Linked DNA regions of Oreochromis niloticus. The protein of the gene in region 2 purifies or fractionates together with the protein of the main gene of each other region. This does not show direct contact. Links are inferred from orthologs where the notes say so. Each region holds a gene or a part of one and is shown on either strand. Other genes may lie near its edges.

What was found.
Region 1: the proteins of polr3b (region 2) and polr2l purify together in Homo sapiens (affinity purification with mass spectrometry; 5 studies listed by BioGRID and IntAct, with this or other methods). This does not show direct contact. The link is inferred for Oreochromis niloticus from reciprocal best matches to the Homo sapiens genes POLR3B and POLR2L.
Region 3: the proteins of polr3b (region 2) and uxt purify together in Homo sapiens (affinity purification with mass spectrometry; 3 studies listed by BioGRID and IntAct, counting the BioPlex papers as one, with this or other methods). This does not show direct contact. The link is inferred for Oreochromis niloticus from reciprocal best matches to the Homo sapiens genes POLR3B and UXT.

Annotation. Positions count from the first base shown.
Region 1 is NC_031965.2:19,336,932-19,347,419, forward strand, and holds polr2l (DNA-directed RNA polymerases I, II, and III subunit RPABC5), read right to left. Parts: upstream 5,653-10,488; 5' UTR 5,501-5,652; intron 5,050-5,500; 5' UTR 5,040-5,049; coding exon 4,945-5,039; intron 4,646-4,944; coding exon 4,537-4,645; 3' UTR 4,423-4,536; downstream 1-4,422. Other genes in the region: cleavage and polyadenylation specificity factor subunit 7, read left to right, coding at 102-438, 650-753, 2,126-2,270, 2,409-2,735, 3,952-3,970. UniProt on the Homo sapiens protein: DNA-dependent RNA polymerase catalyzes the transcription of DNA into RNA using the four ribonucleoside triphosphates as substrates.
Region 2 is NC_031972.2:56,763,543-56,774,870, forward strand, and holds the start of polr3b (DNA-directed RNA polymerase III subunit RPC2), read right to left. Parts: upstream 4,975-11,328; 5' UTR 4,861-4,974; coding exon 4,789-4,860; exon of another isoform or gene 4,788-4,788; intron 4,536-4,787; coding exon 4,503-4,535; intron 2,376-4,502; coding exon 2,319-2,375; intron 2,234-2,318; coding exon 2,169-2,233; intron 2,059-2,168; coding exon 1,983-2,058; intron 276-1,982; coding exon 175-275; intron 1-174. Other genes in the region: uncharacterized protein LOC109202896, read right to left, coding at 7,579-8,640. UniProt on the Homo sapiens protein: Catalytic core component of RNA polymerase III (Pol III), a DNA-dependent RNA polymerase which synthesizes small non-coding RNAs using the four ribonucleoside triphosphates as substrates.
Region 3 is NC_031984.2:4,339,001-4,350,328, forward strand, and holds the start of uxt (protein UXT), read left to right. Parts: upstream 1-6,658; 5' UTR 6,659-6,862; coding exon 6,863-6,960; intron 6,961-8,408; coding exon 8,409-8,490; intron 8,491-9,565; coding exon 9,566-9,633; intron 9,634-9,817; coding exon 9,818-9,925; intron 9,926-10,499; coding exon 10,500-10,563; intron 10,564-10,907; coding exon 10,908-10,970; 3' UTR 10,971-11,328. Other genes in the region: erythroid transcription factor-like, read right to left, coding at 68-148; cdk20 (cyclin-dependent kinase 20), read right to left, coding at 1,247-1,438, 1,637-1,792, 2,556-2,679, 3,289-3,351, 3,965-4,086, 4,366-4,554, 5,152-5,265, 5,413-5,487. UniProt on the Homo sapiens protein: Involved in gene transcription regulation. Acts in concert with the corepressor URI1 to regulate androgen receptor AR-mediated transcription. Together with URI1, associates with chromatin to the NKX3-1 promoter region.

The DNA.
Region 1 (10,488 bases), on a different chromosome or scaffold from region 2:
GACGACTCTGAAAACCCCCCACTGATATTTAGTTTGTATTACTAAATGTCAGGATAACTATCATTTTTCATGGAGATGTATTTTGTTTTTGGTTTTTTCAGGTGTACCCTTGCGAGCTAACAAAGAAACCAAGGAATCTGAGTCGTCAGATGAGATTCTCTCAGTATTATTAGCACAGAAGACCACCCCGTCTGCTATACCGCCACTTTTTCCATCACATCCACTTGCCAACAGCTTTCCTCCATTACCCGGCCCTTCTTTTGGTCATCCACCTCCCCTGTTTCCACATATGCCACAAACAATCGCTCCGCTCATGGCAACCCCGCTGTTCCCTCCTCATCCAGTCCCTGTCCCAAGCCACCCGCCTCTTGGTATGCATCCCACATACTTCAGCCCAGCACAGGATGGGCACAGCAGCAAAGCTTACAGCCAACAAAAGTGAGAACACATTATTTAATTTTTATAGCCACTGACACACTAAAGGCATTTACAGAGAGATGAGATTAAACCTCCAGTGGAAAGTGAACCAATGAGCAGGATACAGAGAGGCATAAATGAGAATAGAGATTACTTATGACTAGAAGTTACAAAAAAGAAAAGAAAACATTAAAACAATAGTTACTTTTACTAATAACTGTATATTTTACAGAAACACACCTAAAAGTTCCGATCGAGATTTGGAGGAGCTTATGAATAGAAACAGAACCATTGCCAGCAGTGCCATCACAAAAGCTGTGAGTGGTGCAACAGCTGGTAAGTATACATTCATATGGGATACAGTTTTTTATGCTTATTATCTATGATTAACAGACAGTTGGAGAAACACTCAAAATGTAAAGTTGTTCAACACAACTTGCACTTGAATTAAGAAGCACACACATATCATAGTATATTTTTGTCTTAGATATAATTTGAATACATTTTTTTACTAGTGATAAAAAACTAAATACTATGTTGTGTACATAAGTCATTACAGACTTTATTCATTATTTGAAAGGCTCTGAAAATGCTGTTTTAATGCTAATCAGTCTGATCTCTGCAACAAAAAGTACTGTGTATGTTAAAGCATTGAGCCACCCATCATTGTGTGCGGTTTGTTTTGTTTTTTTGTTGTTGGTTTTTTTTTTACAATGTTATCCTTCTAGTGCATTAAAAATTGAAGCCTTTACCTGTTGGATGCTTTCCAGATGGTATTGCATGGTGGATCAAAATCTGATGATACTCATAATTCCATCAGCACTGATTAAAATCCCGACACCTCTGGCAGAAATGAAGCCCCAAATCATGATGGAGCCTCCACCATGTTTTACAGATGGCTGTAGACACTGTGTTCTAGTTCTTTGGTAGATTATTCCTATTTCTTAAGGACATGACTTTTTATAGATAGTTTTTTTTTGGGGGGGGGCTGCCAGTTATTTTTTTTTTTGTTCTCCACTTGTTCAGTTTATTGAAAATACTGCAGTTGCAAAAATTACAAGAAAGACTGGCTCCTTTGAAGAAAAATACAAAGAATAACGAGCGACTCAAGAATTTAGCATATTTGTGGCAAAATAAGAAGAAAATTAAATTAAAAATCTGGAAATAATCATCTTTATTATCAGGACTGTTTGGTTGTGGTTTAATCAGATTTGATTGTCAGTGCTCTTACAACACAACGGGTGTCTTCGGGGCCTTTAGGTTTTTGGTTATGGTTTTTCTAGCTTTGCACACTTTTAATTTCTACTTTCTTCATACATTTTGTTACTTCCTCTAGGTGTATCAGAGTGAAATAAGAGCCTTTCTTAGTTCTAACAATTTCTACTGGAGTTTAAGATGAAGCTTCGGCTGGCACATTTAACAACATGCAGAGATTTATCCCAAAGCCCTCTCAGCCTTGTGTTGGCTGCGTGCTCTGGGTCTCTGTATACACATAGGTGAATCATCACCTCAGGCCAGGTTTTATGTCTTCTCACTCAACAAGCCTCCCTGCTGCTTCTGTTCCGAGATACTTTCCTATCTTTAATGTATTTTGTAGTAACTGTCGCCCATTTTCAAAAACTTTTTATTAAACCTAACCCTAGGAACTTTAAAGTGCTTCGTTACTAAAAAACAAATGCTTCTAATATCTCCTAAATTTCTACATCAGGAGACCTGCAGGTGGCCATGGAAACGCTATTAACTGCCATTGCCATCATTAAGCAGTCCAGAGTGTATGGAGATGAGCGATGCCAGACGCTGGTCACGTCACTCAAGGATTGTCTAGTCTCTATCCAGGGCAACTATGGCTACAGGTTTGTATAACTGCCTATCAAAACGCTATCGTTGTTGTCCGTATATGAACGTATATATACGCATGTATATGAACTAATACTGAGGTTGGACCTAGCATTAGATTTCTTACTTTGTTACAAAACCATATTTCCTTTCAGTGAACAAAGTCGCTCTGGAGAAAGAGACCGGGACAGAAGTCGGGACAGAGAGCGAGAGCGGGACAGAGACAGGGAATGGAGCCGTGACCGAGACCGTGAAAGAGACCTGAAACGGAGTCGAGAGCGTAATAGAGACCGGGAACGGAGTCGTGGCAGAGAGCGTGATAGAGACTGGGACAGGAGTCGTGACAGAGAGCGTGATAGGGACTATTCTTCTGTTTGTGAAGGTGCAGGAATGTCTCGAAGACACCTGGAGCGTTCCTGGAGTGGAGAAAGGGAAAAGGCGTATTCACGGGAACGGGAAAGACACAGAGATCACAGAGACAGGTACCACTAATTAGGTAAGTTTTTCACTAATATTAATTTGTACACTACAATTATATTTTACCATCAGTCGGTTTCACGTTTTTGGAATATCTACTATTTTTCCAGTAAACATTTTGACTTTTGATGGAAGGAAAGCCCAGGTGTGTTCCACATAGGTTGCATCCCAATATTGCTAACTCACTGGAACAACTTACTAGAATAAATGAGCCATTTTTTATTTCACCTTTTGTTTTTCTTGTGGTGACAAGAAAAAACACACGTGGCCTGCTCTCAAGAAGTTCTGTCGTGTTAGGTTTCTTATTACACAGTAATAAGTACAAAAAACTTAAAAAAAGACTTGCAACATCTTTTAGTTTGTTCAGTAAACCTGATAATGCAGATTTATTAATGTAGAGCACAATAACTGTGCTTTACTTCCTTCAACCTTCAACAATTTGTTCAGGAACTCAGCAGCACTTTGTCCTGTGATGTAATAGTAGCTCATTATTTAGTGTCAGTTTTTTCATTTTGGTTTATAAATGTATAAAAGCTTCTTATAGCCAATATCTTCTCATATTAGAAGTACTTTTCATCAGATCTGAGGCATGTACTATGAAAAGAGGTAACTTCAGCAGTAAAGTTCACATCTGTCACTTATGGTTTAATATGAACTTATGAAGATGGTTAAGTGTTACCTGAGTGTATGTTGTCCTGAGAGCAGGAGCTCAGTTACATTTCATAAATGTTTGTAGAAGCAGTCTGCATGACTAGGTGCTTGATTTCATACATCTGTGGCCATGGAAGTGATTGAATATCTGAATTCAATTACGGTATTTGGATCGGTGACTGAATCCTTCTGGCAGTTTACTGTATTATGTATGTGTATATGGTTCATAAAGTGAAACTCGCTAAATTTACTACTATAAATTTACTATATTATAATTTATTAAATCTGCCTGCACCGTGACACTGACAGAGCACGGCTATATTTGATCAAGTAAAATGAATACATTTTACTTGATCAAATGCAGAACTTTTAGTCAAGATATATGTAAGGGGTTAGCACAAATATGCATACTGCTGTGTGAAACGCCACAGGATGCATCCTAAAATGACAGAACTCAGTTAGGAAATGTATTTCTGAAAACATACAAACACTTACTTTTAAGTTCAGTATAGTGTAGATCTGATTTGTAAAATTTGTGGATTTCAAAATGTATTATTTTCCCATCCCTAGACTGAAGTCCTGTGACTGAAGCAGAGCAAAGACAGGCCTTTTTTTGGGGGGACAAAAGTAGAAGAATTCCAGATTAAACTACGGATATGCATCTTCTAAAGTCCAAGGTGTACTTTTTTCTTTTTTAAGTTCTCCAGGATCTGTAATTTTAGATAAAGACTGTAGAATCGTTGCTTCGTTCAAAGCTTGCATGCACAGAAGCGCCTCCTAATTTATGTAACTGTAACATTTATCACTTTTTGTATTAAATGTACAAAAAAAACAAATCCATAAACATAAATCCAAGTTGTTGTTTTATCTGCTTACTGGGGACCACAAAAATCATTTAAACTGCCTGTGTTTGGACTACTGTTAACACATTAAAATGTAAAACTACTGAAAGTCTCTCTACAAGATTTATCATGCTGCTTTGTTTTAATGCATAGAACAAGTGTGGGGACTAAGCTTTGCAACTAGACAAGACAGCAAAGGTATAAGCACATGTAACAATGCCATCAACAGCTTTATTTAGAAAAATGCATCACATTAATAACACAAACTCTCAAAACTTCAGCCTGCACAAAGTCCAAACAGTTCTTCTAGTTTTCATTTCTCCAATGGCGCATAATTCAGCAATTTCTCAATAAGATCCACATGAGAAAGAAGCATCCTCCTGCAGCAGTACCTCTTCAGTCCCAGGGCATCCAGGGCGTCACTTGAGAAGGAAGAAGGAAAAAGTAATGTCAGAGCTAATGTATTATATCCTGAATGAATAAGTACATGGACATTACTGAACACACTGAGGAAAATGGTCTAAATAGCCTCATGCAATTATGATTCACTTAATCCATCAACTCATTTTCAAGTTGACTTCAAACCACTTAACCTCTACAAACGAAAAAAATTCAATGTGCAGCGACTGCACTGCTACTAAGTTGTGTTGCCATAATACAACAGTTATTTACAATTTAAGAGGCAATGTCAGTGGAACAAAACAGAATGTGTTAGTCTTACCCCTCTGTGTACTCGGCTTGAAGAAGACCAAGGTATGCTTCCCATTTGTTACCAACAATCTTGCCACACGTGAAGCAGCGTACAGGGATGATCATGTTTACACACCTGTGAATAGAGACCTGGTTTTTAACTTACCCAATAAAATTACGTATCAAACACCTATGTGATGTTAACGACCCAATTTTGTTTTCATCGATCTACGAAAAACGGCGATAAGTTTAACTTGAAAGTATTAGTAGGTGCCCGGCTAATTCCGAGCTAGCTAGCGTCAATATTATGCTAATACTGTATCTTTGATGTGTAGCTAAGACAACTATAAATTATGCAAGGTGATAAACCCAAACAGTGTTTACCTGTGCGTTGTTTATTGTTATTTTTTGTATCTGTGCGTGTTTTTTCAGGAGCAGTTATCAAATTAATTGAACAAAACACCTAGCTAGCCATTTCAGCATGCGTAACCACGCGCTTAGCATAAATGTAGCTGCTTTAACATGTTGCGAATCGCAGTGTTGGTTGTTTACCACAAAAAGCAGAAGGTCACGTTTTATTTACTCACCGTTGCCACTACCGTTCGCTAAAGCACACAAGTTATGGTCTTCTGAGAGAAACAAACACCGGAGAAGTTGTAACTGCTAGCTTCGCTTTCTCCAGCCGCAACAACAAGAAGACTTCCTGTTAGAATCTTTCAAAATAAACGACTACTTCGGCCTCACTTTTTGTCATCAAGATCCGGAAAAAAAAAATCATCCAGACAAATTTCACGACACTTCTCGGAGAGATGTAGCATGGGTAAAGGTGACTATACGGTTAACTACATTTAGAATCATCTCTAACTTATAAATTTAAAAAAGCCTAAAGTGTATGGACTTTATATTTATATCTATGAACACGTGATGTGGTAAATATCTTGTGCAAATAAGAGAATTTACTTCATGTGTGGAAATGTGTTGTTTCCCTGCTGATGGTTATCCTTTGTTCATCTGCAACAGCGGAGTGAATTTAATTTTATGACGTTTAGAGGTAAAACGAAAAGCTTGATTAGGTGTTTCTTTTCATTATAACGCGTCTTTGTACGCATAAAATTAGACATGCATATCACTTTTCTAGTAAATTATCTTGTACACACACATTAATAAGAGAAACTTATGGGGATATTAGGGGAGAATTCAGTTTCTATGTACCCTTATAGCTTCCATATTACTAATAATATATGTAAATTGTTCATTGGCAAAATGATAGAAAAGCAGCAGCCAAGCTATGAAAATCTCACATATAGCATTGGCATCACATAAGTACAGCTCTAAAAATGACCATAAAGTTGACTCAGCAGACAACAAGCTGCCACCCTAACTATAGAGCAAACTGCAGATGCCTTAAAAACAGACACAATACTTCTCTGCGGTATAACTACATCCTATGTCACATTAAAGAAACATCCTTCTGGGAGGACGTGCTGAGCAAAGTAGACCTGACCACAATAATGGTTTCTGTGAGCCAGCATAGATATTGATTTTGGAGTAAAAATGAATTACATAACAATACACCCTGACCCCAACAATACACCCTAACTAATACTTTACATGAAATGTGCCTTAAATGGGGTAATAAAAGAGTGATTAAAGACGTTCCTGGACACCTGATGCAATCTGATACATTCATGGTGAACTATAAACTTTGTTGTCACAAATAACTGAATAAAATTGAAATGATAATAAAATTCCCAAATAATAAATTATAGTAGTAAATATCACAAATCACAGAATACAGAAAGTAAAATTAAGTCAACCAGAAGTTGATAGATATAGATATAGATATATGTGTGTGTGTGTGTGTATATATATATATATATATATATATATATATATATATATATATATATGAAAAAAAAAAAAAAAAAAACAAGAAAAAGGTTCAACTCTGCCAACATCAATAAACAATTTTTTTTTTAAATAGACATGTAAATATAAAGTTCAGATGAAACTGAGTATCATTTATAATCCATTTAAAGCTGAAGTTGCGATTAAAGACATACTCACTTGGGTTGGTTCACTGCCTTTAATAAAGTTGGGTTTCACTTTCTTTTTACACATTAAGAAGTTTGGGAGCTAAGGGGAGGGTGCATAAGGTAAATATGTTATAAATATATAAAAAATATATCATAACCATCAATACTATCATTACAGCCACCATACTATACCACAGCATACCATCACCCTCATTATCATCATATGTAACATCGCCATCATTTCCATCACTAACATCACACATTATGACAATGTTTATATAATTTAACTTGCTACCGCACGTGTGCTAAATGAGGAGTCCTATCTGAATTATTGCATTTATACGCTGTTGAGATTATGAAAATAGGAATTTTCTTCTTCTTCTTCTTTTTTTTTGGTACACTGTATTGTACAATGTAAGGTGAAGTTTGTTTCAGTGTTGGCGTAGGCCATCTATGTTTTGGACATGCTTGGGGTGCTAAGTGTAGTGATGAGTGCTGAGTGTTAGCACAATGTTAATGGCCAGTAATGTGTAAAATGTATACATATCCTTAAAGTTAAATATGTGTTAGAACTGTCTTATGCATCTACTTATGGAACGGGGGACAATCCCCCCCATGAGCTTTGCAATGTGAGTTGGAAATAATGTGTACAGCTGTACAAGTTAATGAGTGCAGGAACGAAAACCGAGACTGCTTTTTTCCCTTTTGATTAAACTATAGTTCTATCCAACTATAGAACAATAGTTCATGTACACCACACTTTCATTGTATAAGAGTATTCAGGATGCTCTCATTACTAATTCCTAAATGAGGTTGACAAGGTTTAGAAAACATAAGAGGGGCAGAGGGAGGACAGAAAAAACTATCATGTTTTGGCAGCAGGCTTTCAACCTGATACACAACACTAATGGCTGTTCAGCCTGCTACAGCTAAACATCTACTGTAAGATGTAAACAGATTGAAACAGCATGACTGCGGCTGCTGTGTAAGACACGAAAGGTTATTGATTTGTGATATAATTTGACAGTAAAATAAATCTGCTTATTCTACAATAATAAATAACTGCACTATTATACTCTGGTCCACAGTATACATATTTTACATCCAACGACCCTTCACGTGCCATTCCTCGACCCCTGCATACTTATGTGTTCTCTCTGAATTTTTATTGTGTTGTACTTGCTTGTGTTCGCCAGTTCGATGTCTCATACGCTCTATACTTATAGAGGAACTCAGTACCTTCAATTAGGCAATCAATGATTTAGCCAGAGTATTTTCAATACACCACAGTGCACAATCCCAGCTATTCTCTGCTCTTCTCTTCCAACTGTCTCATTTTAAAGTAAAGTAAAAACCTAGAACTCTGATAGCTGCTATTCATATTTCAAAGGTTCAACATTATGATTTCAGGCTTCACGTGTTTCTTTTAGCAAAGTGAACCAAGCTCATTTCTGGTGCAAGAATGTACAAATATTTAAACATTTTTGTCAATATTTGTTCAAATTAGATTAAACCAGACAAAGCAGCTGAATAAGCTACCTTTAAGAGTTCAGGTTTTTAGCTTGGCTTAAGATTTTTTTTTTGTGAGTTTTTTTTTATAATTATATAATTACACTTCAGATGCAGTATTGTAGCAACTTCATGCATATAATATGTGTAATTATGCTCCATATACAGCCTTGATCGAAAATCAAATGACTTGATTCACTACAAGTGAAAGCAGGGCAAAAAAAAAAAAAGAAAAAGTCCCCAATCTTTATCATGATAGTCTGTGAACCAATCAGCAGCGACCATCTAAGTCATCAACCAATAAATACCCTAACTTCAGATAATGATTTGGTTTTAATTTCTCCTTGCCAGTAGCAATACTCCGAGCAAGATGGCTCCCGCAGCAATAACGGCCCCACCAATGAGAAAGGGCTTCAGGTGTTCCAGAGAGTCTGTGCCGGAGGCTGCAGCTTCGTCACCTGCTGCTGCTGTCTCTGTTTCCGCTGCTCCATCCTGCGCAGGAGGGCGATGCTCCGGCTCAGGAGCTGCAGGGGCAGGGTCAGACTTGCGTGGGGCAGCCGGCTCCTTTTTCTCCACTTTAGGTGCTGCCTTTGGAGCTGAAGCCCCAGGCTTGCCTTTGGCTTCCATCGGCTCTGAGACAGAGGTGTGGTCTGGTCACAGGATACTTTATAAGGTCAGCTCTGTGCTGCTTCACTGAGGAAAAAAAAAAGACAGCAAACAGACATAGCCAGATTATCCCTCTAAATTAGGCTCAGACATCATGTCATATGCTCTGTTGAGTGTAAAGCCACTGGCATATGAAAGAGCACCTGATAATCATGGATTCACCTTACAGCAGTGAGCCAGTCGTGAGGCGGTAGGGCCTTAAATGTGACCTTGGAAATATGACATTGATAGGAATACTCCGGTGCTCATAGGGACTTGAAATTGTTTATTTTGATGACAGCTCCTGTGACACGATCTCCCACTGAAGGAAAAAGAAGCCACAGAAGCGTCCTATGTTAATGTTTTTCATGGGACAATCTTCTAGCTTTATAATGGAGGCAAGGGGGGGAGGAAAGCATTGCATCTGCAGAGCTGATGTCAGGCTTAATCTTTACTTCTTTGACCGTGAGAAGAGCCTATAGTGGAAATGCAACATGAAGATTTTATCTTTTTCCCCCTCCTTGTTCTCTATTCTGTAAAGCCTGCATGAGTCATTTGTGCTATAAATGTAGGACAAGATGGAGGAAAGAAATAAGGAGTACAGTCACTGCAACAGAGGAAATCAGGGAAAATGCTAATTAGAACAAACGAAGAGGAATAAATACAAGCCAAGACTAAAAGAACGCATTATTCAGCTTCAATATTACAAAATGCATGTTGGACACAGCTTAACAAAAAAAAGTCCCCTGTTATACAGGAAATATCTAATAGAGGGAATATAGTTTTCACCTACCTATCCAGCAGCACTGTAGATATTACAGGGATAACGGATGGTACAGAAAACACGGCAAAAGTTGAATGTCCTTAATGCAGGAAGGTGGGAGACAGCGGAGAGATGGAGGACACAGAAAGCAGACGGCAGGAAAATAAGAGGGAGAGGACGAGAAACTGGGATGTACCATCAGGTGCTCAAATTAGGGGGAGTCGACTCCTGGATCACGTCTTTTTGAGATTATTGCGCAAGCACAGTCCCGCTGTCTTGTTGTCGGCTAAATAAATGGGATTTCCTTCATTATTTTAATCGAGTTTATATTACTGTGATCATTAAACTAGTCAAATACAGGCTAATACATTTTAACCCTGATACTAAAATTGCCTCTTAAAATAACTTGTTTTTTCGTTTAGAAGCATTAACATTTTTTATTATCTGTCGATAATCAGACACGGCGAACTGCAAATAAAACAGTTTCTGTGGATAAAAGGAGCTGACTTTAATCTTAGAGGATTTTGGGGGGTGTATTGGTATGTCGTTGACAGTATGGCCATCAATTATTAACCCTTTACCCAACCTATAAGACGTAAGAGTGGAGTGACGTAGGCTAGAG
Region 2 (11,328 bases):
GTCAGTTTATCAGCAAACAAAGCTTAAAAATCACAAAAGCTGAATTATTTTTTTGGCACTTGTTGGCTTACTGAGCTTTGCTGGAGAGGTTTTAAATTTGTAGATTTGATATAAATGCAATATAAATATGTCTGCATCACAGAACAGGAGCAGGGGAGGGGGAAAAAAAGATACCTTCCGATGGGCAGCGCATTGCGAATTATCCTCTGACTGCCGCGGGTGTACTCTATATCCACTGTGATCGGCGCAGAGTAAGTCATATCTCTGAGACGACACTGTGGGATGAGACAGATGACTCTGAGCTATATCTCATCATCTTTAAAGGAAAGTATTGGAGGTGTATCTCCAAAAGTTGATTCTGTTCATCTGGACGTAGCGTTTTGAGGGAGAAACGTTTCGTCACTCATCCAAGTGACTTCTTCAGTCTCAGCTGATTGCAGGTCAGGTTGGAAAAGAGGGCTTTTCTATCCTACCCTGGAACACCACCAAGTCATTGGTTCAGATATGTGGATGACACCTGGGTGAAAATCAAATCTCAGGACGTACCACATTTCACGGATCACATTAACTCGGTGGACCGACACATCAAATTCACCAGGGAGGATATGAAGAGTGGCAGGTTAGCCTTCTTAGACTGTGAGATTTCCATCAGTAATGGGGGACATCTAAAAGCTGACGTGTACCGTAAACCTACACATACGGATCAGTATCTAAGGTTTGACTCTCATCATCCACTGGAGCACAAACTGGGTGTCATCAGGACGCTACAACACAGAGCGAACACCATCCCCACTGACACAGCGGCCAGGGATGCAGAAGAACAGCACATCAAGAAGGCCCTGAGTAAATGTGGTTATCCCAGCTGGACTTTTGTCAAAGCTAGAAAGGCACCTAAAGAAAGCTCCAGCCGATCCAGGAGAGAAGGACAACCGCTGCCCAAGCGAAAACCTGTAGTGATCCCATATGTGTCAGGAGTATCGGAGCAGTTGAGACGCATTTTTTTCTAAACACCGGGACTCTGTGGCTTTTAAACCACGCTGCACCAAAGATTGGTCCACCCCAAGGATCGGGTCCCCCGACACAAACATAGTCACATAGTGTACGCTGTTAAGTGCCAGGAGGATTGCCAGTATTTATACATCGGGGAAACCAAACAACCTCTGGCGAAGCGGATGGCACAACACAGAAGAGCAACCTCGTCAGGCCAGGACTCTGCAGTCTATTTACACCTACAGGCCAGTGGACACTCTTTCAATGATGAGGATGTACACATCCTGGACAGGGAGGAACGCTGGTTTGAGCGCGGAGTCAAGGAGGCCATTTACGTGAAAAGGGAAAGACCATCTCTGAATCGAGGAGGGGGCCTAAGGGTACATCTTACAATGCTATGATTGCAGCCATTCCCCAACTCTCTGTGAATGGTACTCATGGCCATTGATCAGTGGGCTTTGATCAGTGGTTGTTGATCAATGGTCATGAGAATTTGCATAATTATGATTAAGGAACTGACCTCCCAGCCCATTGTTCCTTCAGTAGGCTGGTTTCAGTCATTATGCAAATGTACTGTTTATAAGATTGGGGAAACCTGCAGTCAGCTGAGACTGAAGAAGTCACTTGGATGAGTGATGAAACGTTTCTCCCAGAAAACGCTACGTCCAGATGAACAGAATCAACTTTTGGAGATTTACTTACCTGGATGATTGAGCATGCATCAAGATATTGGAGGTGTAGGCACTCAAATATAATTAACAAATACCTCTATGAGGGCTATAACTAAATGCTGAGTCTAGAGATGCCTGAGTGAGACATCTTCCTCTATATATATATATATATATATATATCTATCTATCTATCTATCTACCTTCCTACCTACAACTCATTTCAAGCTGTGTATTTGATTACTCAAAAGCTTTATTTAACTTTAATTAAACCACAGTAAACAATGGTTCATATTTAACAGCAGAAACACAGACTACTCTCACCTCGTGGGGAGAGACCGGTCTGGTCACGTTGAAGCTTTCTTCCACGTCCGGCATGCCAACGTAGATATTGAGGTATCTGCAAATTTTTAAAAATCCATTATTTCCTCTTTTAATAAAAACAAAACGACTTGTTGTGCATGTCTGCAGTGTTAAAGTCAGTGATGGTGAATGCACACAGTGACTTACTTGAGGTACCACATTGGATCAGCATCACTTGTGATTTTCTCATTTGCCTTCATAATTTTTTTGATCTAGAAGCAGAAATGAGACATCGATGCTCAAAATCCAAGTGTACATGAAAAAGCAGCAACAGACAAAGACATGCTCGTGTTTTACCTCTACATTAATGAAATAGTTGAATGAGTCGATGTGCTGCTTTACCAAACCTTTCACCTGCAAAACACACAACATGATATACATGTTTACTCTCCCAAATAATATTACTCACACAGATGTAGACCCACCAACTGTTCTGTCATCATTACACAGGAGGATACTTTGATATTTGATGACAAAAAAAAAGTAATTTAAAGAAGGTCCATGACCTAAAGCTTTAACAGGGTAAAAGAACAAGACACATTGTACAGGGTATATTTGGTCATTATGCAATATTTCATTATTTCATGGCCATACTGGACTCAAATGTTTCCCTTTTTACTAAACATATTTCCTTGGCCAAAAAATCTCTTGCTAAGGAATCAGAAGAAACATGACCAGATAACCACATCAATAAGTTTACCAATACTGCTTTCTGTAACTTAGGGATTTTCTAACATTATATTTTCTATCTCAAACTCACTATGAGAAATTTGACGACACATTCACATCTAGTAGGTTAGTTTATTGCAACGCTCTAGTTTTAGGACTCCCCAAATCATCAGTTGGAATTCCCTTATTCATTTAAAACCCAGCCTTGGAATCCTTATGGGTACACAGAAATTTACAAAGCTTTTGATGATTTGGTACCCAGTACAGACATCTCAGGTCATCAGGTTCAGATCTGTTCTCAAAATCATATATTCACACTGCAGGTCTTAATGCTCAATTCCGATTTTTTGATCAAATCCGATTTTTTTTGTCTGCTTGTTCACACTACAAATAAAATGTGACAGCAAATGCGCTCTAGTGTGAACCCTCAAAGCAGCCCGCATGTGCAAAAGAAGACGTCACACAACGCGCTGTTTAGACCCAGACCAAACAGTATTGTTTGACTGATGGCCCTTAATATAAAGACTTGTTTCGGACTTTACGTTTCCCAATTTTGCTCTAAGCTATAAAGCTATTTTGTTATTTACATATGGCCTAATAATTATCCTTTTTGCTGTTTTAGACAGGAGCGGTGCTTCAAAGGATAGTTGCAGATTTCTGTCAGAATCTGCAGATTATACAGTACAAATAAAATGTTTCTCCAACGCTGTCTTCCCAACAGTTTCACTAACATCTACACCGGATGGCCAGGAAGCGTTCACGATGTCTTCTTGGGCGCTTCTCTGGCGCTGATAATTGGTGTCTGTCTTGTGTCAGTGACGTAAAAGACGGATTTAATGCGACATGACCATTCAAACAGCAGTCGCTTTCTAAAACATCAGATATGTATCAGATTCAGTACCACATACGAAAGTGACCCAGGTCGAATTTGAAAATATCGGATTTGTGCTGTTCACACTGTCATACCATGATTGGATATGGGTTGCATAGGGTCAAAAAAGGCGGATTTGATGCGCTTTCGCCTGCAGTGTCAACGTAGCCTTGGTGTGTTGAGGGTACTTTCAGTTATTCTGCCTCAGTTCCTTGGAGCAGGCTGCTGACCTAGGATCAGTTACATCTGCGTGTACATTGAAAAACAGCCTCAAAACCTTTTTAGCCACACAGGCCTACAGCTAATAGATGCTGTTGTTTTGTTTAATTGTTTTTCATTGCCTCAAGTCATCATAAACCTACACAGGGTTTTTTCAGCTGTCATGTAATGAACTGTACTATTTAAATAGAGATGTCATTGTTATTGTCTGACTGCTCTGGGTGATAGGAACTAGGCAACAGTAAGTCAGATTACTACTACACCACTACGCAAAACTGAGGCTACAGTTTGCACACACTCAACAACCTCGGGCAATATAAGATTGGAAAAAGGTTTTCTGGTCTAATAAGTTTTGATTTCAGAATTTGGTGTGAACATCATGAAAGCATGGATCCATCCTGTCTCGTGTCAACAGTTCAGGCTGCTGGTTGTGGTGGTATAAAAGGGTTAGGGGACATTCTCTTCTCATACTTCGGTCCCCAGTTGACTAAGCACCATTTAAACACCAAGGCTTGCTGAGCATTGGTGCTGACCACAGTATGGCTGCTTCCAGCAGGGTAACACACCATCTCACAGAGCTCAGATCACCTCAAACTGTTTTTATAAACATGACAGTGAACTGTTACTGTATACCCACTAGTTTCTACCATACTTTAAACATATTTTAATCAAGAAGCATTGAAATTTAGTAAAAGTGTGTAAGGGCTGGTGTGTTCTGTTACCTTCAGGAAGGCTGGTAACAACTTCCATTTTTCCTGTTAAAAAGGGAAACGAGCAAATAAACAAGTCCGTTTTATCAATAACCTGAAAACTATTCGAGCTGTGTAAATGCTTAAGCACTTTTTCCAAATTGTACACTAGAAAAAATATCTGTCAGAAACAACAAACTGGGACACAGGACGTTCCCCTTCACTCTGCATCTCTATGAGCTAACAGCCTCCACGCTAGCGTTAGCATCTCTGTGCTCGTGCTGCCAGACTTTCGGTCCTTTCCGGTCTTCATACTCACAGCTACGGTGTTAACAGGAGCCACCAGCTCCTGTGGAGTCAGGTCGCTAAACTGTCCTCCCAGGACCTCCATGGTTTACTCCACTGCTTATCAGCAAACACACAAAAACCTGTACCGTCAGTGTTGATATCTTGCAAGCGTGACTCCTTTGTGTTGCACTCTAAAACGTCCGTACGACCAGAAGCAAGAAAAGCGTTCCGATTCTTTAACTTACAAGGATTGTATCGTTCTACTTTTTAAAAAACATTACGTCATAAAATATTGTATTGTGACGCACAGTTACTCACAGTTGCGTCACAAAAAAGTAACTGTGCGATGCAAAAAACAGTACATTCAGACTAGAATTTCCTTTCTTACTTATTGGAGTTATTAAAAATCCAACGGATAGCAAACTGATGTACACTTCCCAAAAGGTGAAATGCAGAAACCTTGTGTGTTCAAAATGAACTGGCACATGGAAGTAAGCGTCATTGAGGACTACTAAGGTGAACCACTCTCCTGGAGTGATGGTCTGCAGGACATTGATATAGTATCTGAAATCAAGAAGTAAGTGGAATAAAATCCCTTGTTCGTTATCTCTGATTGCACTATTGTGATAGCCCTTTTGCCCAGTAGCATATTTCCTATGACAAGCACAGGGTCTTCACAGAGTGTGACAGAAGTCACTTTCTCTGAAAAGGGTGGGATCGATGACGAAACTGCAGCGTGTACCCCCGGGACATTGTTAGCAAAACCCACTTATAGCAGCCTCTCCTCTCTCACTGAGAATGGCAAAATACTGCAATGAATTAGACAAAGCGTGTCTCAGGTGACCCACTAACTTGATAACTTGTTGCCAACTAAGCAAGTGTTTAAGCCCAGGCAATCCAGACAAGAATTCCAGCAAGCTGCAGGAGGTGACCTGAACCATCAACTTACTTATGTCACTATACTTAAATGTGTTGAATTCTAATACCTGAGAATACCTTAAACCTAGCTGTGCACAGGGTTCTCAGGGAGAGCAATATTGAGAGATATTGAGAGACCTGTAGCTTGCTACTGTCAACAACCTTCTACTGCTTAGAAGCATTTCTTATTTAGCTTTCTGGGTTTTTTTTTCTTTTTTTCACATACAGTCTACATACAATGTAATGACTGTGGATGCTCGGTGGGATGCTTCTATGCTGTTAAGGAGATGTCATTTCAGGACTTAAACCAGACTCTAAGAAATTGCTGTCTAAATTTGCAATGCTGCGAGTAACAAACTGCGTTCAGTTTGGAGGTTGAAGAGGAACTCTCCCTCACCAGGCTGACAGCTGTCTGTGCCACAGTTTATCTCATGCAGTGCAGTGCTAAATTTAAAATTATCAGACACTTTGGACAATGTATATTCTTCTATGACAGAAAATACAAGTGTTCATTTAGGTAAATAAACAGAGCCGTAAGAGATGTTTTTCAAAAATTGTTTTCTTTATTTTGATTTGCTGCTAACAAATTTTTTTATTTTTTTTTTTGCTGCTAACAAATTTGGGTTTTTTTTGTTTGTTTTTTTTTATTTGTAGCTTTTGTAGTGTGAACCCCTCACCAGAGTTTGTAAGTTCTTTAGTTCAAGGCAATTAAACCCCAACAATCAAATGATCCCCCTATGAGCAAGCACTAGGCACGGTGGAAAGGAAAAACTCCATTTTAACAGGAAGAAACCTTTGACAGAACCAGGCTCAGGAAGGGGCAGCCATCTGTCACGACTGGTTGGGGGGTGAGAGGCAAAAGAAAAGAAAAATGAGAGCACAAGTTAGCTATATGTTGCTCACGTTGTCTAACATGAACAACATATGGTTTTCTGGACTGTGGATGAAAAGCAGTCCATCATTACTGGTCTTTAAAAGGGAACTGATCCATCATTAAGGTAGCAAAATGGCTCAAGGAGGCTAGAGGCAGAGGCAAATACGCAATTGCTGTTAAACATTGAAAAGGCCCAGTAAGCTGCAGGTATAATAAGGCCTGCTGCGGCAACACCTAAACCTATTTTAAGTAGGCATTTGGCACCATGATGCCATGAACCACTAGTTGGAACCATGTCAGGAGATGGTTCTGAGACAGGAGAATCAAGCTCTTCAGGTTGAGGAGCAAGATTCTCCTGTGTCGGGACCACATCAGTAGATGGTTCTGAAACTGGAGAAACAACCTCCTCAGGTTCAGGAGCAAGATTCTCCTGTGTTGGGACCACATCAGGAGATGCTTCTGAGACTGAAGAAACAAGCTCCTCAGGTTCAGGAGCAAGATTCTCCTGTGTTGGGACCACATCAGGAGATGCTTCTGAGACTGAAGAAACAAGCTCCTCAGGTTCAGGAGCAAGATTCTGTGACTGTTTTTCGACCTTAGCCTGTCTCACCTGACATTGGAGATTGCATATTTCTCTATTTTGTTTTTCTATTATCTCTTCTTTTTTTGTTATTTTATGGTGAGCTTCTCTCACTTGTTGCTCAAGTCTCTCTAAAGCGTCCTTGAGATCTGCGTTCTCTTTCTTTTGTTCGTTTCTCTCACTTTCGATCTGAGACAACTCGGCAGCAATGCTGCTATTCTGCTCAATGAGAGATTCTTCCTTTTCCAAAAAGTCATGGTGCATTGTCTGAATGTTCTTTTGCTGTTCCTGGATTTTAGCCTCCAGAGATTCCACCTGTGACTGTTTTTCGACCTTAGCCTGTCTCACCTGACATTGGAGATTGCATATTTCCCTATTTTGTTTTTCTATTATCTCTTCTTTTTTTGTTATTTTATGGTGAGCTTCTCTCACTTGTTGCTCAAGTCTCTCTAAAGCGTCCTTGAGATCTGCGTTCTCTTTCTTTTGTTCGTTTCTCTCACTTTCGATCTGAGACAACTCAGCAGCAATGCTGCTGTTCTGCTCAATGAGAGATTCTTCCTTTTCCAAAAAGTCATGGTGCATTGTCTGAATGTTCTTTGCTGTTCCTGGATTTTAGCCTCCAGAGATTCCACCTGTGACTGTTTTTCGACCTTAGCCTGTCTCACCTGACATTGGAGATTGCATATTTCCCTATTTTGTTTTTCTATTATCTCTTCTTTTTTTGTTATTTTATGGTGAGCTTCTCTCACTTGTTGCTCAAGTCTCTCTAAAGCGTCCTTGAGATCTGCGTTCTCTTTCTTTTGTTCGTTTCTCTCACTTTCGATCTGAGACAACTCAGCAGCAATGCTGCTGTTCTGCTCAATGAGAGATTCTTCCTTTTCCAAAAAGTCATGGTGCATTGTCTGAATGTTCTTTTGCTGTTCCTGGATTTTAGCCTCCAGAGATTCCACCTGTGACTGTTTTTCGACCTTAGCCTGTCTCACCTGACATCGGAGATTGCATATTTCTCTATTTTGTTTTTCTATTATCTCTTCTTTTTTTGTTATTTTATGGTGAGCTTCTCTCACTTGTTGCTCAAGTCTCTCTAAAGCGTCCTTGAGATCTGCGTTCTCTTTCTTTTGTTCGTTTCTCTCACTTTCGATCTGAGACAACTCAGCAGCAATGCTGCTGTTCTGCTCAATGAGAGATTCTTCCTTTTCCAAAAAGTCATGGTGCATTGTCTGAATGTTCTTTTCCTGTTCCTGGATTTTAGCCTCCAGAGATTCCACCTGTGTCTGTTTTTTTTCAGCCTGAACCTTCATGTGTTTAAGCTCATCTCTTGACCGATGGAAATTATCTTTATAATAATTCTTTTTGAGCTTTAGGGTGCTCAACTCCAACTGGAGTTGTTCAATTTTCATTTGAAGCTCCCTACAGTTAGGCATTTCAATCTTCAAAACCGTATGCAGTCTGATTGATTCCGCTTGAATCACTCTGTTGGACTGTGAATTATTAAATGTTTCGTCTGACATTTCTTTAAATGTTTATGCAAAGTGTCGACAAGAAAAAATGTTTGCTTAATTGTTTAAATTTAAAAATAGTCTCTTTCTGGAAGGTTTCTGGTTTGCAAAACGCAACTCCCTGTTTCTGAAACTGCTCCAAGTAAAACTGTTTGCAAAGGTGAAGAGGGCGTATTTATGGACTTTTGTGGCCGCGAATTTGACGTCAGCGCTCTTTGATCCTTTGATCGAACAAAGCATCAAAGGACAGCTGTGCGTAATTCTGCGCATGCTCAGAGAATACCCATTGAAATGCACGGTTTTCTTTTTTGTTTTGAATTTTTTGAAATACTTTGAAAACAGTCCAAACAGTGTTGCCAACTCAGCGACTTTGTCGCTATATTTAGCGAGTTTTCAGACACCCTTAGCGACTTTTTTTTCTAAAAAGCGACTAGCGACAAATCTGGCGACTTTTTCTGGTGTTCCAGCATAAATTTAAATGGGTAGGACGTTGTTCTGAAAAAACATCCTACTTTGTCAAAATTTCCTCCCTAAGTAGTTTGTACACATTTCTGATGTCACAGTAATTCCAGCACAAATTCAAGTAGGAATGCCACTTAACTTTGCCCATCAGAGTATGCTTGTAGCTCATATTCATAAAGCCAGGACGGTTTACCACTTATTTTTACCCGTTAAAGTGTGCTTGTAGGTCACATTCACAAAGGTAGCATGGTTTGGCACGTAATTCTTCCTGTCAGAATTAGCTTCTAGCTTATATTAACAAGGTAGCATGGTTTGGCACGTAATTTCGTCCCATCAGAATTATGCTTCTTGCTCTTATTAACAAAGGTAGCATGGTTTGGCACGTAATTCTTCCTGTCAGAATATGCTTCTAGCTTATATTAACAAAGGTAGCATGGTTTGGCACTTGTTTGTAGAAGCAGTCTGCATGCCAAGGTGCTTAAGTTATACACCTGTCACCATTGAAGTGATTGGAACACCTGGCTATATAAACTTTGACAATGAACTCACTCCATTAGAGTTACAGTATATATTTACAGATACATACATTTGACATTTACATGTGATATATATGACAACGGAGTAGTGTGGAGTAGCGTTAAATCCAGTGTTGGGACTAACGCGTTATTATTGTGGTAACGAGCACGGTAACTAGTTATTATGCCAAAACCAGGAACGCGTTACTCGTTACTGGGATTTAGATAGGCTCGTTACTCGTTACTTCGTGTGGTGGATATCGCGGAGCTTCCACAGATTCAATAACATTAGCAAGTGATGGAGGCCAGCAGGTGGATGAAGGAAAAGGGAGGCAAGAGGAGAGACCCGAGGCGGCCGCCGGTCCGCGCGTCAGGTGAACTGAACTTCAGGTAAGAAGTTATGACCTGCAGTCTATCTGGGTCAGATATAAACCAAGTTTAGGTGGAGTTTATTTTCGGTATGCTGACATTTTCGTACTGCGTGCTAGCTAGCATGACGGAGTTTCTATACAGCTGGGTGGGTGCTATGTTACTGATGTTGAACTTTATTTTGTTCATACGGTTAATTATTAGAGTTGCCAACCGTCCCGTAAAAAACAGAATCGTCTCGTATTCAGAGAAAATATTACGTACTGAGGTGAAAAGGAACACAGTTTGTCCCGGACTTCAGCTAAAATGAAAAAGACACAAAGCTGAAGCTGCACAGCTGCCTCTTCTTCTCTCATTCTCTCCTGTTTCTACTTCAATCACGAAACTGATCAATGATCAGCTGATCGGCTTTTCTCTCTTGTTTATTTATCGCCCACTTTGCGCCAGAAAGAGGAAACCAGCGGATGTCGCGTTAAACAACAGCAGCAAGTTTAAGCTTGATCAGCTGTTGTTAGAATTTATTTAATATTAATTTCTAGTATCAGCTGATGTTTGCTGGAGCCACAGCTGTAAAGCTGCTGGTCATGATATCGGTTTGGTTATCTGGTGAGAGGGAAACATGAAGATGAAACCAGGAGATGTCCTTACTGAATCATCAGAGCTGAACAGGTGATGGAGAAACAGGTTTACCTTTTAGGTGACATGAATGAGTTGAAGGGAAGTTATGAACTGTTTCTGAGAGACAAATAACACCAGGATCCTTTTCTAAGTAGCTGACAGCTGGTAACTGTGCAGGGGCGGGTCTAGCAAAGTGTTGCCAGGGGGGCAGGTAGGGCATTAACAGGGAAAGGGGGGGACAAGGAAATACTTCTTTATTATTCTCATTTAAAATGTCTCGCTTTAAAAAAAAATAATTATCTGAGTCTTACAACAAACAATTGATAGATTGATACATATATACCATCAGAACAGTGTACATCACTGTCACAACAGTGTTTATTTTCATTCAAAGGCTTTATGATTTTTCCTATAATGGTGGGCCGGTCTCTAGTCAAAATGCCCGGGACGATTTTTTTGTCCCAGTCCAGCTCTGTATGCAGTTCATCTGCAGTCTGGTGTTACCTACATCTTCCTATTCAGAAGGCAGAATTTCCAAGTTCTGAGTACAATCAAAAGCACCACGACTGCAGTTTTTGTGTTGGATGTAAAAAGCAGGCTAGAATCATGGCGGCGGTCAACGACGGTCCAGGCGTGGGATTTCTCTCATGGAAATGTGCACATTATTTTTTCCTTTCTATTGGTAGGTGGCACAGTGCACTTGTGGCAAGTAAGCAAGATAGAAGACTGACAATCT
Region 3 (11,328 bases), on a different chromosome or scaffold from region 2:
ATACTTCCGTACTTGTACTTGATTACATTTTGACTCCGTAAGCAAGAATATAATAAAAGACTCTCACCTTAGTACTGAAGCTTGTTTCAGATCTGTTGGACGTCACAGCAGAAGACCAATAAGCTAACGGCGAATAGTTTGACATCATCGCTGAATTTCTAAGAGGAGGTAAGAAAAATTAAAGTCAGAGTGAGTGCTCTCTCTAACACAAAGGATCACAGCTCTATTTTCTGATGGTACTCACAGAGGCTGAAGAGATTTGAGGGTTTTAACTTCATCTGAATGCAGCTCTGGGGTCTGAAGGAGGGCGACCAGGAGGAAGAGGAGGGGTTTGACTCCTCCTACAAATTCTGACGTGGGTTTTTTGAAAGGGATTTTTTTTTAATTATTGAAATTTTGAGTTTCCAGTGTTTACATGGCTGTTATCATTTACTGCTGTAAACATGTTATAATATGAGATCACTGTCAGACCACTGGAGTCCAGGTTCAGCCCACAACTCGCCTCAAAAACACATCAAAAAGTAAAGAAAAGAAAAAAATTCTTCTTCTACTTTTCCTTGTCTGCTGTTCCAGTTGTGGACGCTCTAGTTAAACATCGCCACACACAGTACTGATGTCAGTGTGTGTACAAATAATCACTAATCCACAGGTTCAATCTGCTCTTACGCTCCGTTTCAGTCAGTTTTTTTTACCCTTGGTTCAGTATGATGCCACTGAGTACATTCCTTGATATGGTCGTCTCAGGCACACAGCTCTTGCTGAAAACACATCATTATTTTCAAGATTAATTCTCAGAAATGACATATTTAAAGGAAAAAAATGTTCAGGAATCAACCCAACTTCTCCACACTTTACTTTATTAATGACTTTAAATAAAACTCACAACATGTTTCATAAACAGAACAGAAACCTGCTTGATTTTGTGTTTTTAAATTATTTCATCCTTTTGCCAAATGGAGACCCGGTGGAGCTAAAAATCAAATTAAATAAATTCCTTTTAGTCCAATAAATTCAGTGTGTGGAAACGTAACTGTATTAGGTGATTTTCTCACGGTTACAGGTGGTTACGGAAGAGGTTCAGGCTCAGGAAAGACCATCAGAAATCTTCTGTGTGAGCTGAAATTCATAAAACAATGTGAATTCAGTCTATAGCAGAGCGTTCAGTAAACCAGATAATAAATAAATAAATAAAACAAGATTAACTGGTATAAGAGCAGCTTAGAGATGGTAAAGATCAGCGGTCAGTTCAGAGGCAGGAAGCATATCCCTGTATTAGGGCAGGGTCTACCACACTGTTCTGCAAGGGTAGGTCCACTGAGAAGTCAGTGGGCGGAGCCTGGAAGCGTTGGCGGGGGGGTCGCCCTCCCCTTTCAGGGATGGGCAGCTCTGAGTGGTGAGCAGGAATTGGCGAAGTAAAGAAATATGGATGGAGGAGAGCCTGCAGTAAGGAGGAGAGGACAGGCAGAGCACTGATCAATAATCAGTTTATTAAACTTTATCTGAGTGATAATGGGTGAATGGGAGAATATAATGGCTACGTTCCAAGAAATGATTCTTTATGTAAAAATGAGAGGACCTCTGACCGAGCCCTGAGGAACTCCACCTTTGAACTTAAGGTCTGCTTCAGGTTTCTTACCTGTCTGGCTGAGCAGCGCTGTTTAGATGGATACACCAGGAACTTATAGAGCAGGTCCACTGCCTGAGGGGGCATGTCAGGGACGATTTCCTCCAATGGGATTGCTGGATTCTCCTTAAAGGTGATTTTATTGTAATCTGGCAACTCCACTATCTCCTGGAGACAGACAGGAGAGGGATTAAAATGTTTTAACCAGTTTCACAGCCATAGAAGAAAAAAACAAGACAAAATTAAACTTCGCAGAGTGAATTATTTTACCTTAGCCTTCAGATAAAATCTCACACAGACCACAAAGATGTCGCCAGACTTCAAACAGTTGTAGGTTTTTAGAGTAAACACACACAGTTTCTTTTATCAGTTTGGTTTGGAGTGCCACAAGGATCAGTTTTAGGTCCGATTTAATTTCTCTACATATTCATCATCATTTACTGCTAGTCTAAAAACATTTAAACATTTTAAATAAAGCTAAACGGAGGCCAACCAATATTTCAGGCAGATGATTGCAGGCCTATCACATATAATAATATACTGATGATGATTATGATGTTGACTATGCACTGAAAAACATTATTTTAAAAAATAACACATTGCGTCTTTTTAGCACATTTAAAGTTAATGAACGTGGATGTGGGCGGACATTTATATGCACTATGTCCAAAGATGAAAGAGTAAACACTACCACAGTGTGAATACACTGAGTGAATACATGTGGAAATTAGGCAGTGTTCCAGTTTATTTTACATCCTCATTGTGTTTACATTTTCACGATATGTCTTTTATATAAAAGACAGAATGTGTGAGATGATACTTTGATATAAAGCTTAATACTTAACCTAATACAAAAAAAGATCGAGAAGAAAATGAATGTATATTAATGTAACGTCCCCTGAAGTGATGGAAAAACCAGTGTGTATCTTACAGGCCAGCTGTCCTGAGTCGGGGTTCCCAGCACTCTGAGGACACAGCAGAGCTGCTCGATGTCGTTCTCTCCAGGAAACAGAGGAGACGAGTTCAACAGCTCCCCAAAAATACAGCCGACCGCCCTGAAACACACACACAAGCGCACACACGGACTAAACAGTAAGCCATGACTTCAGACTGCTGCTGCCCCCTGCTGTTCATCTCTGATCACTGGACCAATTTACACCTGAGCAGGAACTGTGAACACTAACAGAGTTAGCGTGTACTGAAGCTACAAGCTTACTCTTTCTTATTATATGGTCCCATGTTACATAGTATGTTAAAGAGTAATATATAATAAAATATGCTGATACAGGAAAAGAATACAAGCAGGCACAACAGAAACAAAAGCATCTAGGTTTATTGAGTAAAAGCTAATCAGCAGAGGATTCACAGTAGATAATCAAATCAAATTTATTTGTACAGCACATTTAAAGACCAAAGTGCTTTCCAGTAAAACCATGATACAGATAAAATCACAATATAAAATATAAATTACAGATATAAAATAATGACATAATATAAATGCAGAGCCAGATGAAAATCACACTAATTAGCCTCGAATGCCAGGTTAAACAAGTACTATGTAACGTAAATGTATATAATGTAATGTAAGCTATAATGATCGAACAACAGCAAAAAAATAATAGTGTGGGCGCTACTTTTAGCAGCGTTTTCAGGGTTGTACTCACCACAGGTCGACTCCCTCGTCGTACTTTCGGGCTCCGTACAGCAGCTCAGGGGCTCTGTACCATCTAAACACACACAGTGGTCAAATGTAGCTCAGTGCATTTACTGCACATTACTGATAAAGTATCAGTAATATCCAGTTGAAAGTGGTGATTATTTTAGAATGAACTGAACCAACAAGTCACATGACATGGCGACTTTAACATGATTATTATTTACTGGTGTAATGAGCACCTCAAATCTGAATATGTGAATCTGTTCTGTGACACATTTGTTCACCAGTTGAGCTTTAAAGCAAGTCTGAGTGAATATTTAAAGTATCAACTGACTGCATTTTCCATGTCACCACATGGATTTTTCCCAGCAGCACTAAAGCTAATGCTGTGCTTGTGCTTACTTTATAGAGCCATTTTCTGTATTACATTCAGCCATTCAGATACTGCATTACTGCATTTTATATACAAAAGTACTTACTTTTAGGTTCATTATATTGCATTTAAATTTTCACTTGAGATCTTTCATTTTACTGTCATTTTTCTATTTAAATGAGCATTTTGCTCTTCGTGTTTTTTACCTCACTGAGTTCTTTTGGTAAGTCATACTGTATTTTATTTTGATTAGCTAAAGCTACCTGCTAAATAAAGTATTTCTTATTTAATCTCATCTTATCCTATTTACCTGGTGGCCACCTGGTGGCTGTACAGCCTCTCTCCCTGCTCGCTGAACAGCCGGGCCAGACCAAAGTCTGCAATCTTCAGGTGGCCTGAGGAGCTGATGAGCAGGTTTGCTGGTTTCAGGTCCTGCAAACACACAAACGTCATTTTATAATTGGTTTGATTTATTTTGTTAAAGAAAAGAAACCCGAACACCACCTTCTCACCTCCTCCTGCAACACCTCAGACTGCAGCAACTATTCAGTTTTTTAGCATTTCCCATATTTTCAGCTTTTCATTTATTATGAATAACCAACAGTATTTAAATAACCTTGTATGCTTAAGTGTTGCTTGTTACAAACACAGGATTCACTGAGAAAACAGTCAGATGACTCATTAATGATAATAACTGTTAGCTGCGCTCACCCGGTGCATGACATTGTTGTGATGCAGGAAGGCCACGCCCTTCAGCAACATCATCATGTAACTTTTGACCTGCGCAGGGGTCAGAGGGCGCTGGGAATTCCTTATGACCTCAGAGAGGTCAGACAGCATGAAGTCGAACACCAGGACGAAGCCCGTGCCGTGAGGAAAGACGTCCTTCAGCTTCACCACCTGAGGAGAAAGTCACAGAAAGAAGTCCTGCATCCCTTCAGACTCCAGACACTCTGCAGCTTCTTATAATTTTCTCATATAGCCTAATCTCCTTTTTATTAACATGTCTGTTATGCTTGGCTCTTTTCTTGCTGCTCTGCTTTGATCGTCTATGTTTTCCATGTACTAATTTTTGGTTTCTGTTATATTTTGTTTGTGACATCCCCCCAGCCACCAGGGGAGCTGGAGCATATCCCAGCTACCATAGGGCAAGAGGCAGGGTACACCCTGGACAGGTGGGCAGTCTGTTGCAGGGCTAACACATAGAGACATACAACTATTTGTACTCACATTCACACCTATGGGCAATTTAGAATAACCAATTAACCTAACCCCACTAACTGCATGTCTCTGGACTGTGGGAGGAAGCCAGTGTACCCGGAGAGAACCCAGGGAGAACACGCAAACTCCACACAGAAGGGAGTCGAACTCATACTCAGGACCTTCTTGCTGTGAGGCAGCAGTGCTACCCACCGCACCACCGTGCTGCTAAACACTAATCAAATTTTAAGATTAAAATGACTCTTATCTGTAAAAACTGTCTGCACATTCACTCACATGCTCGTTGTCCTTGATCTCCTGCAGTGCTTTAATCTCCCTTAGAGCCTGGTTCGGAATGCCGTCTTCCAGCCTCCTCAGAGCCACTTTCTTCAGAGCCACCGTCTCCCCTGTCTGACACACAAGAACATTTCCATGTCACATATCTAAGCCGCTGAGGTTAGACCCCAAATTTAATGCTGATCGGATTACAAAAAAAAGAAAAAAAGAAAAAAAAAAGAAATGAAGTAAGATGCAGACATAAAAGCACCAGTCCGTCACCTCAATATGTTTGGCCTTGAAGACTATGCCATGAGCTCCTTCTCCTGTCCGACCCAGAATGTTATACTGCTCCATGTTTTCATGAGCGTTTAAAACAGCTTCAGTTAATCTGGATTTAATCTGGTCACAACTCTCACTGATGTTTTTGTTAATTCAAAGAGTGTGTGGTTTGAAGTAAACCCCCAATGATATACAAATCAGCTCCTTGGAACAGCAAACCAGAGAGAGGAACGCAAACCTCGAACTTCACTCAAAAATTAAGCCGTTCACGATGCTGCGCACGATTGCTCAATAAGATACAGTTATTAAACTATTATTTTAAGCCCAGTAAAACTTTAAACCGTTAACTTAAATTCGGCTTATATTACATATGCAACAACAAACAGCTGTAAAGAAAAGTCTCTCAGAAAATAAATCCTGACCACGGGAAGCGAGACAGCTAGCTGTTGGCTAACGTTGCCTTGGCAACGTCTTAACTCAGATAACCCAGCTAAAATTTTAAAACCTGTTACTGTTTAACTTCTGCTGCCGGCTTGACACGCACGCTTGTTAAGAAAGAAACTACAAAAACGACGATATTTAATTTTTTTAATACGCATTTTCATTCAGGACGTTTTAATAATTGTTTCGTGTTACAGTAGCTAGCTACAGAGCCGCCCGTGGTCTGCCATGTTTGTTTACAGTGACGTCATGAGACAGGACCTCCATAGAGCCAGAGCAGGTAGAAAGCATTAACCAGAATCAACGTTTTATTTTGTTTTATTTTATTTTTGATTCTTTTTTTGTTCTTGTTTGCTGTTTCATTTTTTAACGTACAAACTTAACAATTTGACTTGAACATTTGATTCGATTAATGATTAAAAAGCAATTTAGTTTATTTTTTGGTTTATAAAGCAAGTCTTTTGAACTGCATAGAGATGTACTTGATGTGTCTAAAATTTATAATCTGCTCAGGAAAATGCTTCAAATTTCCCTGACCGACAGACAGACTTTTCTGAATCCAATTGGGAAATGTTTGTTTTACAGCAGCAGGATAAAGAATAAAAATAATTCACTCCGTACTGGTATTCTACATAACGAAAAAGGCCTTCTATTCTACTATATTAAAAAATAAAGTAAGAAATTTTTTTTAGAGTTTCCGAGTTTATGCTATCATTAATTGACAAGCTTTTGCAGCGTTGCTGTCGTTTCGTCTTTTCTGTTTTCACTAAATCTATTCTTTGGGTTCATTTTGAAACCCGGAAGTACTTGTTCACACTTTCTTCTCATCCGGTGTAGAGTGGCGTGTTTACGTCCTGTCTTAGGCATGCTAGCCGGAGAGTTTGGTGTGCAGAAACATTAAAGTTTACGACAGAGAGATCGGGCAGTTCGCAGCTGGACTTTATCCGCAGCTCAACCGAATGTTTTTTCTGTTATTTGTAGCTTCTTTTAAAGAGAAGACAGTGAAGAAATGTCTGCTCCCGACAATGCCACAGCTAGACCTAACGTGGACCAGAAGGTCCTGCAGTATGAAACCTTCATCAACGAAGTCCTGAAGAGAGACTTACAGTAAGAAGACACTACAGCTGATGTCTGAACACAGTTTATTATGTCCTTACAGAGAGCTTTATTCAGTTACAGAACTTTAAAAACTAAAGTAAAAGAAATGTAATCTGTAGTTAAAGTAGTGCAAAATACTTGTGTAGATATGAGTTTATGAACTCAGATTTTTATCCAGGCAGACTTTGAACAGGTAGTAGAGGCGATATGAAGGTCAATGAGGAGTGACTACAAATTAAAGTCATTTAAAGCTTAATTAACAGCCTAATAAAGGTCAAGTCTCACAGCTGCTGATTGTATAATAGTGCTGGTGTCATTTTGGTCCCCCTCCGTGCCTTAATTACTTGCAGACTGATTATTAAATATTTACACTCACAAGTTGCTTTTTTAGGAATACCTGCTCAACCCAAATATCTTATCAGCGATTCATGTAGCAGCAACTCAATTCATTTAGGCATGTAGACGTTGTCAAGACAGCCTTTGCGTGCAATGTGTTTTTAATACAGTGGGATTGTTATACATGTCACTGCTGTGCCAGCACTGCAACAACTGGGGCAACAAACCAGACAGAACTGGAGCGTTTTGACCACACTAAGAGGAAACCTCTTACTGCTTCACATTCTGCAGCCAGTACTGCAGAGCAGAGCTCAGCATGAGCTAACAGAGTGCGAAGCACATCCAGGGACACAAGCTGTTTAGGAAAACTGTGGAGTACACTTGGCAATTGGGTCAACAAGCTCCTTCACAGCTCCATTAGAAGCAGCCTCAGACCATCTTATTTAAAGTGGATCAGTTTTGTTAATTTACAGCTTTATATTGTTTTTCTTGAACACTATGACACTAGAGTAGCTTTGCATGATTCATAGTTCAAAATAATTCTTTTTTGCCTATGACATGACTGGTTTAGCTCCCCAGACAGCGGGTGGGTGGGCTATAATAGGGATATCTCCTCTCAATGACATCATACAGATTCAAGACTTGAAAAAGTATTTAGAGCAATCTAAGGCGTTAGCCTTTGGTTCACATGGGTTACTTGTACATGCACAGACCCGACTGGTTGTGTTTAATGTGAACACTGACAATTTTATTAGGGTGTAAGAAAAGAAATACAGAAATTACTTTGTACAGTTACAGAACAAAATGGTGCAAAAATCTAAAAACTACACCTAAGAAGGAGCTCAGTTATATAGAAAGGATACAATAATGAGCTTGAATCTATTATAAGTACACATGTGTGATGGATAAGAAGGGTAGATCTAATCTTACAGGTATTTATGTGGTTCTTCAGGTTGGCATCTGAGTGTTCAGTGACACAGACTAAAGAGTTCAGGTGTCTGAAATGCTGTTTGGTGCTTTGAATCAGATTTTCTTGGCGTGTTTAGGCTGTTTGAATTATTTTGGTGCATCTGAAGGCGTTAATGTTCTCTGTAAATCAAGTGACGGCTGTCGTTTGGCAGGAAGGTGGTGGAGCAGAGGGATCAGGTTTATGAGAAGATCTCTCAGTACCTGCAGCTGAAGAACACCATACAGAGTCTGCAGGTAAACGCACACAAAATGTACTGTGTTATTTTGAAGATCTGTAGGTTTTTCAGTTTAGAAAAGAAGAGATTTCCACATCAAACTGGAGATCGTTGTAGTGTTTGTGCTGGCTGTCATTCTCTGTTAATGTTAAATGCTTCTGTCTGCTGGTTAATGAGCTGCAGACTGAGCTCTGCCAATACAGACATCTCTCTCTGTAGCTTCTCTGTGTGAGCTGTTTCTGTAATTCAGCACACTCTTCTGTGAGGAAAGATGGTGGAGCTTATCGGACCTCCATCAATACAGCTGAGCCTCACTGCAGCTGTTTATCCAGCAGATCAATACATGTGGCTCATTAGGCCGAGAGCTGTGAACCCAAACCTCCATCGTCTGGATCAAAGAGCCTGAAACTACAGCTGGAAAATCAAAACATTCAGACATTTTACCTCCACTTTTCAGATATTTAAAAAAATAATTTTTTATTTGTTTTTATTTTATTTAGAGGATGGACGTTTTTATTTTAGTTTTCAGATATTTTTTTAAATCACTCTCATAATCATTGATGTCTGTGTAGGTTTTCAGTCATCCAGGTCATGGTAATCTAAGGAGCTTGGAAAGAAAAGCGACTCGACTTCTTTAAGTTTCTTGAAGACGTTTCATCCAAGAAGCTTCTTCAGTTCTAAAACTAAACGGTGAAGAGTCCCAGGTCTTTAAGTCCTAGTGGGAGTTGTCCCATAAGAGGGTCGTTGACCCGACTATTAATCATGTGCCCCATCACACACCTTGGCTCATGTGATTTAATACTTTGAACTGTCCAACATTTGGTCTTAGAACTGAAGAATCTTTCCGGATGAAACGTCTTCAGTCACTTTTCTTTCCGAGCTTCTTACATATTCACTGATATATTTTTCTGTGGAAACCCCGCCAAACAAGCCAAACTCATTCAGTCTCTTTTCTAACTGTCATGTCATGAACGTTAACCTCTAACATGCTGTCTGAGGCCTGTAGACACTGAGATGGAGTATTTTTTTCTCTGAGCTTGGGCCGCCTGTTCCACGAGTGAATGAAAGTCACACGCTTCTTTGTGTTCCTGCAGGAGGCGGGCTCTCAGCAGCTGAAGACAGACGTTGATCTTGGCTGTAACTTCTACGTTCAGGCTGAAGTGTGAGTTGCTGACACACGAAGGTCACCAGCAGCTGTTCTGCATTCGAACAGGCAAAAATGCTGCGTTTAGGCTAATGAAGTGTGCTGCGAGACTCCAGAGAGGCTAGAGCATCCGTGCTCTGTGTTTCCAAAAGGATTTCAGTTCCTGTTTAAACTCAGTTCTCTTTTCCTTCTCCTCCATCAGTGAGGACTCATCCAGGATGTTTGTGGCCGTCGGTTACGGTTTCTTTGTGGAGATGACTCACGACGAGGCTCTGAGGTTCATCGAGAAGAAGACGAGTCAGCTCACAGCGTGAGTTCATTGTCACTGTAACACTATTAAGATTAAAAGTAGGAGAAAAAGCATAAAAATGTAATTATGTTTCAGACATTTTTCAAATGAGCTCAGAATTTCACTTTGTTGTGAAATTATTTGAAAAAAATATGTTAGAACTATTTATTTTGAAATGTCCTGATTTTGTTTTTAGATATTTTTGGTGGGTTTTCTCAATATTTATGATTTTATTATTAATTTTATCTTTAGATATTTCTCAAGTATTTTTTTCACACTTAAATTTTCCATTTTAAAACATTGATATTTTTGTTGTATTATTATTTTTTTCTGACAATTTCCTGTTTTTATTGTACTTTAAAATTAATTTTTATTTGTTTATTTAGAATTTAGAATTATTGGAATTATTACTAATTTCTCTATTAATAATATATTACTAATATTTTTTATTTTATATTTTCTTTTTTTTATTATTATTATGATTGATTATTTTTTACGATTTGTTGTTGCATACCAATGTCTATTAGCTAGCTCATGTTAGCTCTTTGTTAGCACTGTCACTTTTTGCCATGCTAACCCTGTGTTTGTGTTACAGCTTCACGGAGCAGCTCACAAAAGACTCTGCCAAAATAAAAGCCCATATCCGCATGGTGCTGGAGGTCAGTTTCTTCTCAGGTGGATTATAGGACAGTTTTTATATAATAATAGTTTCTGTTGGGTGCAGGAGTTTTCCTCTGGCTTATACTTAAGTACTAAATAACTTGTTACTCATTTCTGAGGATTTTACAGTCAATGAAGTTTGAACATTGAACTAGAAGTAAAAAGTTTTACCCATCTAATGAAATACATCAAGATCAGATTTGAATATGTTCAGTTAAAACACTGTTTTTCAGTATTTACTGGTGACAAAAGGGTTAAAATAGTCAGATTGATCTGATTAATGACCAGATGTTAAAGAAGCAGGTAGAGAATCTGATTGGCTTCTTCATGTTTCCCTACTCAGGGTTTGAGGGAGCTGCAGGGCCTGGGCGACCTGCCAGAGAGCAGAAGAGGAGACGTTTTCTAGACTTTCCCACCTGACCAGCTGCAGAGGACGGGTTAACGAAAGCCGGCTGCTGATGTCAACGGTGTGTTTTGAGAAAACAGGCTCGAGGAGAAGGAAAGACTTCAGGACTAAAGCCTGAATCCCAACAAGTCCTCACAGAGCTGAAGAGGAGGATTAGTGCCTGAGCCTTCTCCGAGTCAAAACTCACAGTCATGAAACACGTACTCTCGACGTGACTTTGTGTCTTTGTGAAACTCGTCTGTTGAAAATCAGAGAATATTCCTGTTTTTTTGTTTTCTTCAGTGTCACAGTGAAGAAGGAGCTGCTCAGAGATACTCCTGCAGCGTCTAAACAGACACTTTCAGTCAATGTGACAAAT